Neodiprion lecontei: one gene and its partner. The protein of the gene in region 2 purifies or fractionates together with the protein of the main gene of each other region. This does not show direct contact. Links are inferred from orthologs where the notes say so. Each region holds a gene or a part of one and is shown on either strand. Other genes may lie near its edges.

Region 1 (5,856 bases), on a different chromosome or scaffold from region 2:
TAATCAGATCTCTCGATAAACGAAATACATTTATTAAATATATTTTCAATTATTTTAGAATGATGGCCCATAGTCAACTGCAAACTTACCCGTATAATTTGGGATTAGTAATTTGGCTGCAGCATTAACGTTGAGCAGCTTCACCTTCCTTGGCACCGTCAGACATTGTAAGTCTGTGAAATTTAACCAGAATCGTGATAAGGATCAATGGTATTCACGACCCAGTTTCACTTCAATTCAGAAATATATTTTGAGATACCTGTCAATTTTTGGATAAAAACTGAGTTCAAGGTGCAAGCAACTTGGACAGGATCTGCTATTCCTAGAATTACAGTTGCCCAGACAACATCAAGCCATATTTCCGAAGCGGATACATCAGTCTCCTTCAATGGCTTTATGAATGCCTAGACCATTCAGTAATAAAAATTGAAAAAGCTTCGCAGACAAGAAAAGAGAGGAAAACCAATTCTAAGTAAGTTTGGTACCTTATGCAATTCTGTCATGTTGAAAGGTATGTGTTGAACAGTGGCTAAAGTTAACAACAGGGATGTGATGTACTGTGGCTTCAGTGATCGTGGCTCTGCCAAGATCCATTCGCATAACGCATCCAACAGTTCGGTATTTTTATATCGGAGAAAGCCCAAGGATGTTACGACTGAGCCTATTACAGCGGTACCATTATTCTCAGGAATACGTATGATTAATTCTGAGCTAACTTTCTCCATCAGTACCTACACATTTTTCCCAATATTTGTACATGCCAGAAAAGTGTTGATCTTTGATATTTTGTCTTAAGTAATGATAAGCAGAAAAAAATATTTCGTTTTCATACCTCATCTGGAAAGTTCAGCACAGCCAATGAAAATAGAATGTCAGCACATTCTTTTACATTCATTTTCTCAGTGCTGCGAGAGATATGGTACGACAAAGATCTCAATATGGGTAGGGATCTTCTCCGCTTGTGAGCCAAGGTGGTAAGTACCTAAGAACAGAATGTATTAGGAAAAGAAAACAACTTTGCATGTTTACCGAATTAGGGCTGACCTGGGTCATCTGAGCGAGAGATAGGGTAGAAATGAGTTTTGCTGCCTCATCATCTCCCGCAAGGCTGAGCACAGTTTTTAAATCACCATGTTCGTGGGGTTTGGATGTTGTCGATTGTTCAGCCTGTCCTGCAAGCTGTTTGCAAAGCGACAAGAACCTCGGATCTTTCTCAAAGTCTGCCGGAGTGATTGTCTTTGCATTAATCCACTCGGAGAGAATAGACATAATGTTGAGACCATCTCTTTGAGATATTTTCTCATTTCCTGCTATGCTTAATAACTTGTCGATGGTATTAGCCTCAGAAATATCTTTTCTAATGGAGGATTTTGAAGACCTATCGGCCACTGTTTTCGTGTCATTCAGTATTGCGGCAAATGCCGCTTCGACTAGTTTGTTTTCGGACTTTAGTTTCGGTTTACTCTGCTTTGTACTGGTTTGCTGTTGGACTGGTTTCTTGGGCTGCTGAATTTCAAGAGACAGTAAATGACAAGTGATCAAGAAGGATTAGGAACACTTGTGCAGTAGGCGATAATAGAAATAAATGTAATAAAATTAGGAAAAGACAGCTGAAGGCAAGTTAAGCAGGGAATAAAAACTAAGCTACCAGTTTGTGTATTACTTTGTCAATGGATAGCAAACCTTGTCAACAATAGAAGCAATGTCAGGAACAGGGGCTGCGGAACTGCTGAGTGTTAACAACTGCTGCGAATTAATCCTCCATATCGTACGAGGGGCGAACCTAGTTACCACGTTACACATGGTTCCGCCAAATTGTAGCATTGCCATTAATCTGGAAAATGAATAATTCTTTATGTAATATGCCATAGCATATAAGCAGAAGGACTAGCCCTACTCTGTTCCCAATAACACGTGACATAACACTAAGAGTAACAGGTGATGTTATAAATGACACTCACTCTATATTTACAGGTTAAATGTGTGACGATTATTTCACAGATCATACGTATTTATAAATTATATTATTATCAATTTATGATTTCATATTGAGGTTATGCGGCTGCTGCACATTCGCTCTGCAGTCTGTATTTAAAAGGAACCGTAGATACGAAACTCTGACAGCATATCAAAGAATACATTGACGGGTTGGCGCAATGCGAACCTAGTGGAGTAACGATCAACCAACAGTCAAATAGAGATCATGTCAGCTAGCTCGCTGTTCAATTATTCGCACACCCGGACCCTTTTGGTGTTTCTTAGTAGTCTATGGTAGTTCCATTGAGTTCCTTGAAGTCTGGATATCGCCCTGATTTCGGATTCTTGTGTGCCTTTACGTTCCTCTCGCTGCGGAGTTTAGTTGAATTTTTGCCCTTCTAAATGACGAGTGAATAATTGTTACAACGAGTTGCGAATAGAGCTACGGAAAGAATGCCGGCTCAAGAAATAGTAACTCCCCAACCAGCGGAAGTCGAGGATGCCGCGCCGTCCTCGCAGCCGATCGTCGGCATCATATACCCTCCCCCGGAGGTTAGGAGTATCCTTTATCGAAACTGAATTTTCGAGCAACGTTTTTTCATTTTTTCACTCATCACCCGCTCTTCTAAATTTGCTTAAAATGTGTAAGAACTTTGTAACTGATCGTAACGCGCACCTTTCAGGTGGAGGATAGTAATCAATCGAACCGCTTTTGAAAGAGCCAGTGGGTAAACGAGAGCGAATCGTAAGTCGATGTTGTAAAAATAACAAATCATCACGGAAATATCTTTCAGGTATCAATTTCCTTACACAGCTGATCAGATATCGTTGATAAGACGGCTAGTTTTGTTGCTAGAAATGGCCCAGAGTTTGAGTCGAGGATCCGTCAAAACGAGCTTGGCAACCCAAAGTTCAATTTCCTCAACTTTGGCGATCCGTATCATGCTTATTATCAGCACAAAGTTAAGGAATTCAAGGAGGGAAAGGCACAGGAGCCTGTCATCGGTCTGGGCGTTGGTAAAGGTGTGAATCTCACAGCCCACCAGAAACAACAAGAAATTTTGAAGCAAGTCGAACAGCCGTTCGTACCCAAGGATCCGCCAGTTGATTTTGAATTCATTGCTGATCCCCCGTCTATTTCCGCTCTAGATTTGTAGGCTTACTTTTATTTTACTCTTACTGAATTTATTTTGTATTGCATCCGGTCCATTTTAAACTGTCAATTATTTTACAGAGACATTGTCAAACTGACAGCTCAGTTTGTAGCTCGTAATGGGCGCCAATTTTTGACCAATCTAATGAATCGTGAGCAGAGGAATTTTCAATTTGACTTTTTGCGTCCTCAGCACTCTCTCTTTCAATATTTCACTAAGCTGCTTGAACAGTATACAAAGGTAAGCCCGGTTCGAATACAGAAATGCATATAGAATAGAAATTGGTATTTCATTTATTTGTGCAACAGGTGCTGATTCCTCCGAAAGATTTACTTCCTCGGCTGCGAGATGAAGCCGCGAACATGGACAAGATATTAGAACAAGTGAAATATCGCGCAGAGTGGCTCAAGTATCAGGAGGCACAGAGGCGCAAAGAGGAAGAGGAATTAGAGCGTGAAAGAGTTGCTTATGCTCAAATTGATTGGCATGATTTTGTTGTCGTTGAAACGGTTGACTACCAACAGTTTGAAGTTGGGAATTTCCCCGCTCCCACAACTCCGGACGAGGTTGGAGCTCGTGTTTTGATGCAGGTGCGTGGATTTTCAGTCGTAAACTGTTCAAATGCTATTCAACTTCACACGACACGATTGAATAAGTTTTTAATTTAGTATCACCGGATTAGGACATGTTCTGAGTGAGTTTTTCTTTCAGGAACGCATTGAGGATGGAGAGGAGGTGGAAATGCAGATTGAAAGTGACGGGGATGAAGAGCTCCACTCTCGCGAGGGTGAGAAAGACAGAGCAAAAGATAACAACCAGGTGAATGTCAAGAAATACTGTGAATTAAAAAATTCTGTCCATGCATGAGAATTTTATGTGAATTTCGCAATTATTTTTGTGCTTATCATTATATTATTAGGAGATAATCGCTAATATCGCATGTCAGCAGTATCAGACATTGTAACACCAGTTTTTCCAGGTCCAAGATATGGAGGAAGATTCCAGTGATGACGACGACGTTTCGCCTCCTGGAGATTCAAACAGAGGCAAAGACCAGAGACACCGCGATACCATGCAACCACCGCCGCTACCTCCAACCCCGGGCAATGTCGTCGTCAAGAAGGGGTACGATCCGAAACAACATGGTAAGCTGATGAAGTGTCTCGAGTTTAGGTTATTCGTCGACAACATCGTACACCGCCATCTAATCCAACGAATTAATATCTAGCTTCCGTGAAGAATACTCGCCCCACTGCGCCAGATGAGTATTTGATATCTCCTATAACTGGGGAGAGAATCCCAGCAAGCAAAGTGCAAGAACACATGCGAATTGGTCTGCTGGATCCTCGCTGGGTGGAGCAGCGTGATAAGCACCTGGACAAACTGGCCCAAGAGACCGTATTCGCTCCTGGTACGGCGATAGAAGCAAGTTTGAAGCAGCTGGCCGAGCGGCGTACGGATATTTTCGGTGTGGGAGATGAGGAGACAGCTATTGGTAAGAAGATCGGTGAAGAGGACAAGAAGAAAGACGACAAGGTTACGTGGGACGGTCACACGTCGAGCGTTGAGGCCGCTACGCGCGCCGCTCGCGCTAATATTACACTTGAAGAGCAAATACATCAAATCCATAAGGTTAAAGGCCTTCTGCCTGATGAGGAAAAGGAGAAAATCGGGCCTAAACCCGCCACTCGAGCTGCTGAACTCTCCCACATGGCGGCTGCGGCTTCCAAGCCTCAGGCGACCCTGAAAGCTCCTCCAAAGCCACCCGCGCCCAAACCCGTACCGGTTCCTGCTCAACCACCACCCCCTTCGATTGGAATGTCGACGATGGGTATTCCGCAACCCATAATGCCTCAACCACCTATGATGATGATGGCACCCATGCCGCCGATTCGGCCGCCCCCCTTAATGAGTAAGTTTCACTTCGTCTTTCTGCAGTAATAAAATTTTTTCATCACGTAAGGTTTCATTGTGTTTTCTAATATTGCAGCACCAGCAATGTCGCCGTTCATGCCAACGCCACCCCCGATGCAGCCGCCGTTACCAAGTGGGGTAAGATTTACTTTAATTTACTAAAATTTCACGCACAGCAGCCGTAAAATCGTTATTCTTTTTGTGATATTCCCGACTTTGTTTCGTTACGTATCTACTTGTCCGTTCAAAAAATTGTAGATTGGTATAAAGCATCCTGGCGAGCCAATGGAAGAAGAACCGCAAGCAAAGAAATTGCGTACCGAAGATTCCTTGATACCGGAGCAACAGTTCTTGGCTAGAAATAAGGTAAGTGTTATTAATTGTTTTGCTTTCTCGTTTCGCAGGATTATTCAAGCAACAATCCCACGTTCAAGCTATAATTTTTAACAATGTAATCCGCTGTTCAGGGTCCGGTGCAAGTCAATATCGCCGTTCCTATGATGACCGAGAAAGCTGAGTGGAAGTTGAACGGACAAACTCTGAACATCACGCTGCAATTGAGCGATACCATTGCTACAATGAAGGCAAGCATTCACGAACAGACTGGAATGCCGCCTGGGAAACAAAAGCTTCAATACGAGGTGATTATTGCGATTTATCATACATATATCGGAAACCACTTGTCCTTATTCATTTGTGCGCATTTTGAAATCGTGCTTTAACATTCTTTTTCCAGGGAATGTTCTTCAAGGACAACAACACTCTCGGTTACTATAATTTAGCCTCGGGTAACGTGATAAACCTTTTACCA
Region 2 (5,160 bases):
GTCAAAATTCTTTCATGTAGTGAACTTACTACTCTGTTTAATTTTCATTTTTCTATTTACGTAAGTTGCAATGTTGCACTTTTATAAGGGTTTGTCGATCCACCGTGACTGAGATAATTTCGTTGTTTATGATATTACCCAATGCCAACGGTAGCACTTTACTTTTCCAAAGGTAAATTATCAAAAAGACAAAAAGTTTGTCAATTTGTACTCAACGCTTTGGATACCATTCACGTCCGATCAACCACAATTTTAAAACAGAATGCAGCGTAAATTTAGTCAAATTGAAAATAAAGAAAAAAATGTAACTTCAATATTTCGTAATGGCGAGATTTTTTTAAAATTTAATTTGGTCCATGGGAGGGAAAAAAAAACTTACTGTAGCCATCATCGGCACCAGAAGCTTGCGGTTCATTATTGAATGAACATGTGAACCCTAGAGTTTGATTTCCTCTTTCAATATCAACTTCGAAGCTTGGCTTGCTTTTCATTTCTCCAAATTCAGCCTTGTCTTCTGGGGTGTCAATGTCGGGTTCAGAATCAGAATCGACAGTATGATTGACATTGAAATTTATCGTTATGCTAAAAAATTACGAATTCAGTCAAGTTTTTGTCACAAAATTGTAATAACTATAGCAAGAAGATCGCTAAACAATTTTTGGCTTACGTTTCATCTCCATGTTTTTTGGTGAGCGTAACCTCCGCTCCATCTAACGATATCTTAAAGCCGTCTAACTCTGTGGGAATGGTCTTCATTTTTTGTGCCTTCTTTTCCGCAACAATTTCTTCAGCTAAAAAGAGTCCCAATTCTTTCTCCGCTATAGCATCAACCATGTAAATGACAAAAAATTGCAATTGAATAAATAGAGAGAAAATTATCACTAAAAAAAAAAACCAAATAATAGTAATAATAATAATAATAGTAAATTATATTTCGGGCGGAGAAGTTACGAGGTGACATTGAAAAATGACCCTAACCTTTGGTGTGTGCCTTTCGGGAGCAGCCGCAGCTGCAAAAATCGCTGGGATTTTGAATTTTGTAACTCGTTAGTGGTGCAAGTTCGTTTTGCCGGCTGCACATGTTCCACATCGTTCTTGCGAAATCCCTTCGTGCCGTGCCGCCGACAACAACGGTAGATTGTGTTAATCCCTTGAGAGTTGAGGCCCTCAGAGCGGTTCTGACTAATCCGTTCATCTTTCTGTCTTCTGGCTTATACCGCCGTTGATAATTGTTGTAATTAATTTACACTGTTTTCTAAAATTCGGCTGATGCACGACTTGGCACGGCTCGCGATCAAGCTACTCCTTGCGCGGAAAAGGTTGCGTCAAGGCTACGTTCACTCTTGTATTCTCGTCTTCCTCTACCATACTTGCCTCTACCCTGTTCGCCGACCGGATGTTCACTAAGGTGAGCTCAAAACCACAAACTAGTCAGGTATACTTAGACGCGGATATGGGGTGAAAATTATTATCGTATAATGTGACTTTCAGTGGACTTTCCACGCCGAAGTGCAGGCATTTTTCTCGACGGTTGATGCGTGTAACCTTAGTGACCGGAAGTCGACTCAGTGTTACAAAGAGTTTAGTAAACGCAGCCGCCATTTTGTAGCGGCGCTACTGATTTCGAGTATTCGAGTAATTTCGTCTTCGTTCGGCATGTCGGCTTGTAAACGTAGGAGATACGTTTCGCAAAGATACGTATAGACGGACGAAAATCAGGTGCCAAATAACACCAGTTGATTAATTGGAAGAGCAAATTGGGCGCGATGTTGCTGAACAACTAGCGATACCCTATTTGCAACAGAAACCAAGGTAAATACAACACTCACGACATTCTCGTGATCAAAATGGCTGACGATTTTTGTCCTCACCGCATTCTCGCCAATGAAAATCAACGGTCGGCGTCGATTTTGACTGATCACTAAGCGGAAATTTTTGCTTATATAACCTCAAAAATATCATAATTATTTCACTAATCGAATAAAAGTAATAAAAGCTTTTAAGATCCCAATTTGACAATGGAAGTCAACCATAACCAAAGGATGTGTATTTACAGGCCTCAACGCCGCATTTTTATTACTCAATAACTCTGTAAATGATTGACAGATTACGTGACATTTTCTTGCCACATTGTATTTCCGTATTGATTTACTTTCACGTATTTAATTCGGATTGTATGATATCTAGGTCAATTGGCACGATTTCTTATATGCTCATTTACGTCTAGTTATACTACTTTTTCAACTCATAATTTCTATAATAATTAGCTGATTGATCAAAGATTTAAAAAATTTCTTTTCAGCTAAATAAGTCAGCGTCAAAATGTCTATACCGCCTTACTTGCTGGGCCCAAACCCATGGGCCACCATGATGGCCCAGCAGCAGGCTCACGCTCAGCTTGCAGCTGCGCAAGCTCACGCGCAAGCAGCGGCTCATGCTCAGGCAGCCCATCATGCTCACATGCAAGCAATGGCTGGGCCGCCGCTACCGCAGCTGCCTAAGCAGCCCGAAGTTATTTCCGAAGATAAATTGCAGGAAAAAGGTAAGAATGGATTATTATTGTTAATGTTGGAAAGACAGAAAAGGTCCTCTACGCATGTGTATTATTTTCTAGTGATTGAAGAAAACATCTAAAAAATTGATATATTTCCAAATAACATTCATTGATGAAAACTGTTCACATATGATTAGATAACTTGATTTCGTTATCCCACTTTCTGCAAATTTTAGCTCAAAAGTGGCAGCAATTACAGTCCAAACGTTTTGCGGAAAAACGTAAATTTGGGTTCGTCGATGCTCAGAAGGAGGATATGCCGCCTGAGCACATAAGGAAGATTATTAGAGATCATGGAGATATGAGCAGCCGAAAATACAGACATGACAAACGTGTTTATTTGGGGTAATTATCGTGTATCAGTGTTCAATGAAGCTCTATTTTTTGTTTGTAATTTTGTCTTCACCTTTTGTTATACGGTCATTATATTAATTACAGTGCTCTGAAATACATGCCTCATGCTGTGATGAAATTGTTGGAAAACATGCCAATGCCATGGGAACAAATTCGGGACGTCAAAGTGCTGTATCATATCACCGGAGCCATCACATTTGTCAATGAAATTCCATGGGTCATTGAACCAGTCTATATCGCTCAGTGGGGGTGAGTTTTTAAAGAATTTCCAGCTCTTTGTTAAGAGAGAAAAAAAGGTCAAATAATTACTTCGGCCCAATGTTTGATCGTGATTAAAATCTAGTGAATTTAATTTTAAGAACAATGTGGATCATGATGAGGCGTGAGAAACGAGACAGAAGACATTTCAAAAGAATGAGATTTCCTCCGTTCGATGACGAAGAACCGCCTCTAGATTATGCAGACAATGTGTTGGATGTCGAGCCTTTGGAAGCCATACAAATCGAGCTTGACTCGGAGGAAGACGAATCGGTTGCTACATGGTTTTACGAGCACAAACCTTTGGTTGGGACGAAGTAAGTAAATGCTTGATTATGATGCTGAGCTCAGCTGAAATTTTTCTTGAAAGTGAACTGAATTATTTCATTAGCAATATCAGGACCTTTCGCAGCTTTGGCGTCAATATATGACCTGCTGCCCAACTCCTGACAATATACGTCATTTATACACCAATTTCATGATGAATCGCGTAGGGGTCCTGAAATCAGTCATTCATGTGGTCTGACGGTTGCAGCGTTGTTGTTTGCTTGTCTGAGATAAAACAAATGCAACGTTGTGATTGGATCAAACGCTAATCTGAAATAGACTTACGTATATACTCAAAATTTAGCAGCCTGAAGAAACATGACCAAAATTATTTCATGCAACGAAATTTTTCTAATAATTTCCAGGCATGTTAATGGATCAACTTATCGTAAGTGGAACTTGTCCCTTCCACAAATGGCAACATTATATCGGTTGGCCAATCAGCTGCTGACTGATTTGGTTGATCAAAATTTCTTCTACCTCTTTGATCCAAAGTCGTTCTTTACTGCAAAAGCTTTGAACATGGCCATTCCTGGCGGTCCTAAGTTTGAGCCCCTTGTGAAGGATTCAAATGCTGCTGATGAGGATTGGAACGAGTTCAACGACATAAATAAAATAATCATCCGACAACCAATTCGTACGGAATATCGTATCGCTTTTCCTTATCTGTACAACAACATGCCACACTTCGTTCATCTTTCGTGGTAGGTAGTTTTACTTGCAGATTATTTTTTAAATTTCTGAAGATTCTGTTATTATATTGATATCCACACCAGTTTTAAGACAATATTAAAATTATATGTGGTCTTACTAGCCGTGTGGTAAAATATTTAGTGATCGTTATTCGTCACCCTCGTAGAGGAGAGAGGGCGACTGCTGAAATCACAGACAAATTTTTAACTTTAACAGTACTATCCTTGTATTTGTTTAATTACATCCTGGTCGCAGGTACCACGCTCCTAACGTTGTCTACATCAAGACCGAGGATCCAGATTTACCTGCCTTTTATTTTGACCCATTGATCAACCCGATTTCACACCGAAATTCATTGAAGGTACATCCATTGCACTTTAATAAATGCTGTGTAGAGATTATCATATTTGATTTCGAGCTGTTCCACGTCGACATCCCTGTTCAATGAGTTGTTCAACTAAAATAGCTCGTAGATGAAGGGTCATTTTTGCCCTGCGTTAGCGCAGCATGACTAACGGAGTTTCCAAAATGACGACACTGTATTTTATTCATCGAGTTTCATTCAAAATCTCCACAATTCGCAATTTAATTTTAGAAAATCCTCTCTTTCCGTAGACAATGGAGCCTCTTCTTGAAGAAGATGAAGATTTTGTACTGCCTGAAGAGGTTCAGCCATTTTTGCAGGAGACTCCGCTTTATACAGACAACACGGCTAATGGAATTGCTTTGCTTTGGGCACCACGTCCGTTTAACACGCGATCTGGCAGAACTAGACGAGCGATTGATATTCCCCTGGTAAAATCTTGGTACCGCGAACATTGTCCACCAGGACAGCCAGTCAAAGTTCGTGTCAGCTACCAGAAATTGCTAAAGTACTTTGTCCTGAATGCATTGAAACACAGGCCTCCAAAGCCACAGAAAAAACGATACCTCTTCAGGTCTTTCAAATCGACCAAGTTCTTCCAGACTACAAC

What was found.
Region 1: the proteins of pre-mRNA-processing-splicing factor 8 (region 2) and splicing factor 3A subunit 1 purify together in Homo sapiens (affinity purification with mass spectrometry; 4 studies listed by BioGRID and IntAct, with this or other methods). This does not show direct contact. The link is inferred for Neodiprion lecontei from reciprocal best matches to the Homo sapiens genes PRPF8 and SF3A1.

What each region holds. Positions count from the first base shown.
Region 1 is NC_060260.1:1,607,137-1,612,992, forward strand, and holds the start of splicing factor 3A subunit 1, read left to right. Parts: upstream 1-2,235; 5' UTR 2,236-2,430; coding exon 2,431-2,536; intron 2,537-2,799; coding exon 2,800-3,130; intron 3,131-3,211; coding exon 3,212-3,371; intron 3,372-3,439; coding exon 3,440-3,721; intron 3,722-3,842; coding exon 3,843-3,950; intron 3,951-4,110; coding exon 4,111-4,276; intron 4,277-4,359; coding exon 4,360-5,043; intron 5,044-5,121; coding exon 5,122-5,183; intron 5,184-5,303; coding exon 5,304-5,411; intron 5,412-5,512; coding exon 5,513-5,686; intron 5,687-5,781; coding exon 5,782-5,856. Other genes in the region: FAST kinase domain-containing protein 4, read right to left, coding at 90-173, 260-404, 486-731, 833-982, 1,045-1,506, 1,684-1,830. UniProt on the Homo sapiens protein: Component of the 17S U2 SnRNP complex of the spliceosome, a large ribonucleoprotein complex that removes introns from transcribed pre-mRNAs.
Region 2 is NC_060264.1:1,831,266-1,836,425, reverse strand, and holds the start of pre-mRNA-processing-splicing factor 8, read left to right. Parts: upstream 1-1,612; 5' UTR 1,613-1,812; intron 1,813-2,302; 5' UTR 2,303-2,322; coding exon 2,323-2,542; intron 2,543-2,730; coding exon 2,731-2,899; intron 2,900-2,992; coding exon 2,993-3,157; intron 3,158-3,267; coding exon 3,268-3,483; intron 3,484-3,858; coding exon 3,859-4,197; intron 4,198-4,441; coding exon 4,442-4,547; intron 4,548-4,801; coding exon 4,802-5,160. Other genes in the region: complement component 1 Q subcomponent-binding protein, mitochondrial, read right to left, coding at 380-582, 668-818, 979-1,195. UniProt on the Homo sapiens protein: Plays a role in pre-mRNA splicing as core component of precatalytic, catalytic and postcatalytic spliceosomal complexes, both of the predominant U2-type spliceosome and the minor U12-type spliceosome.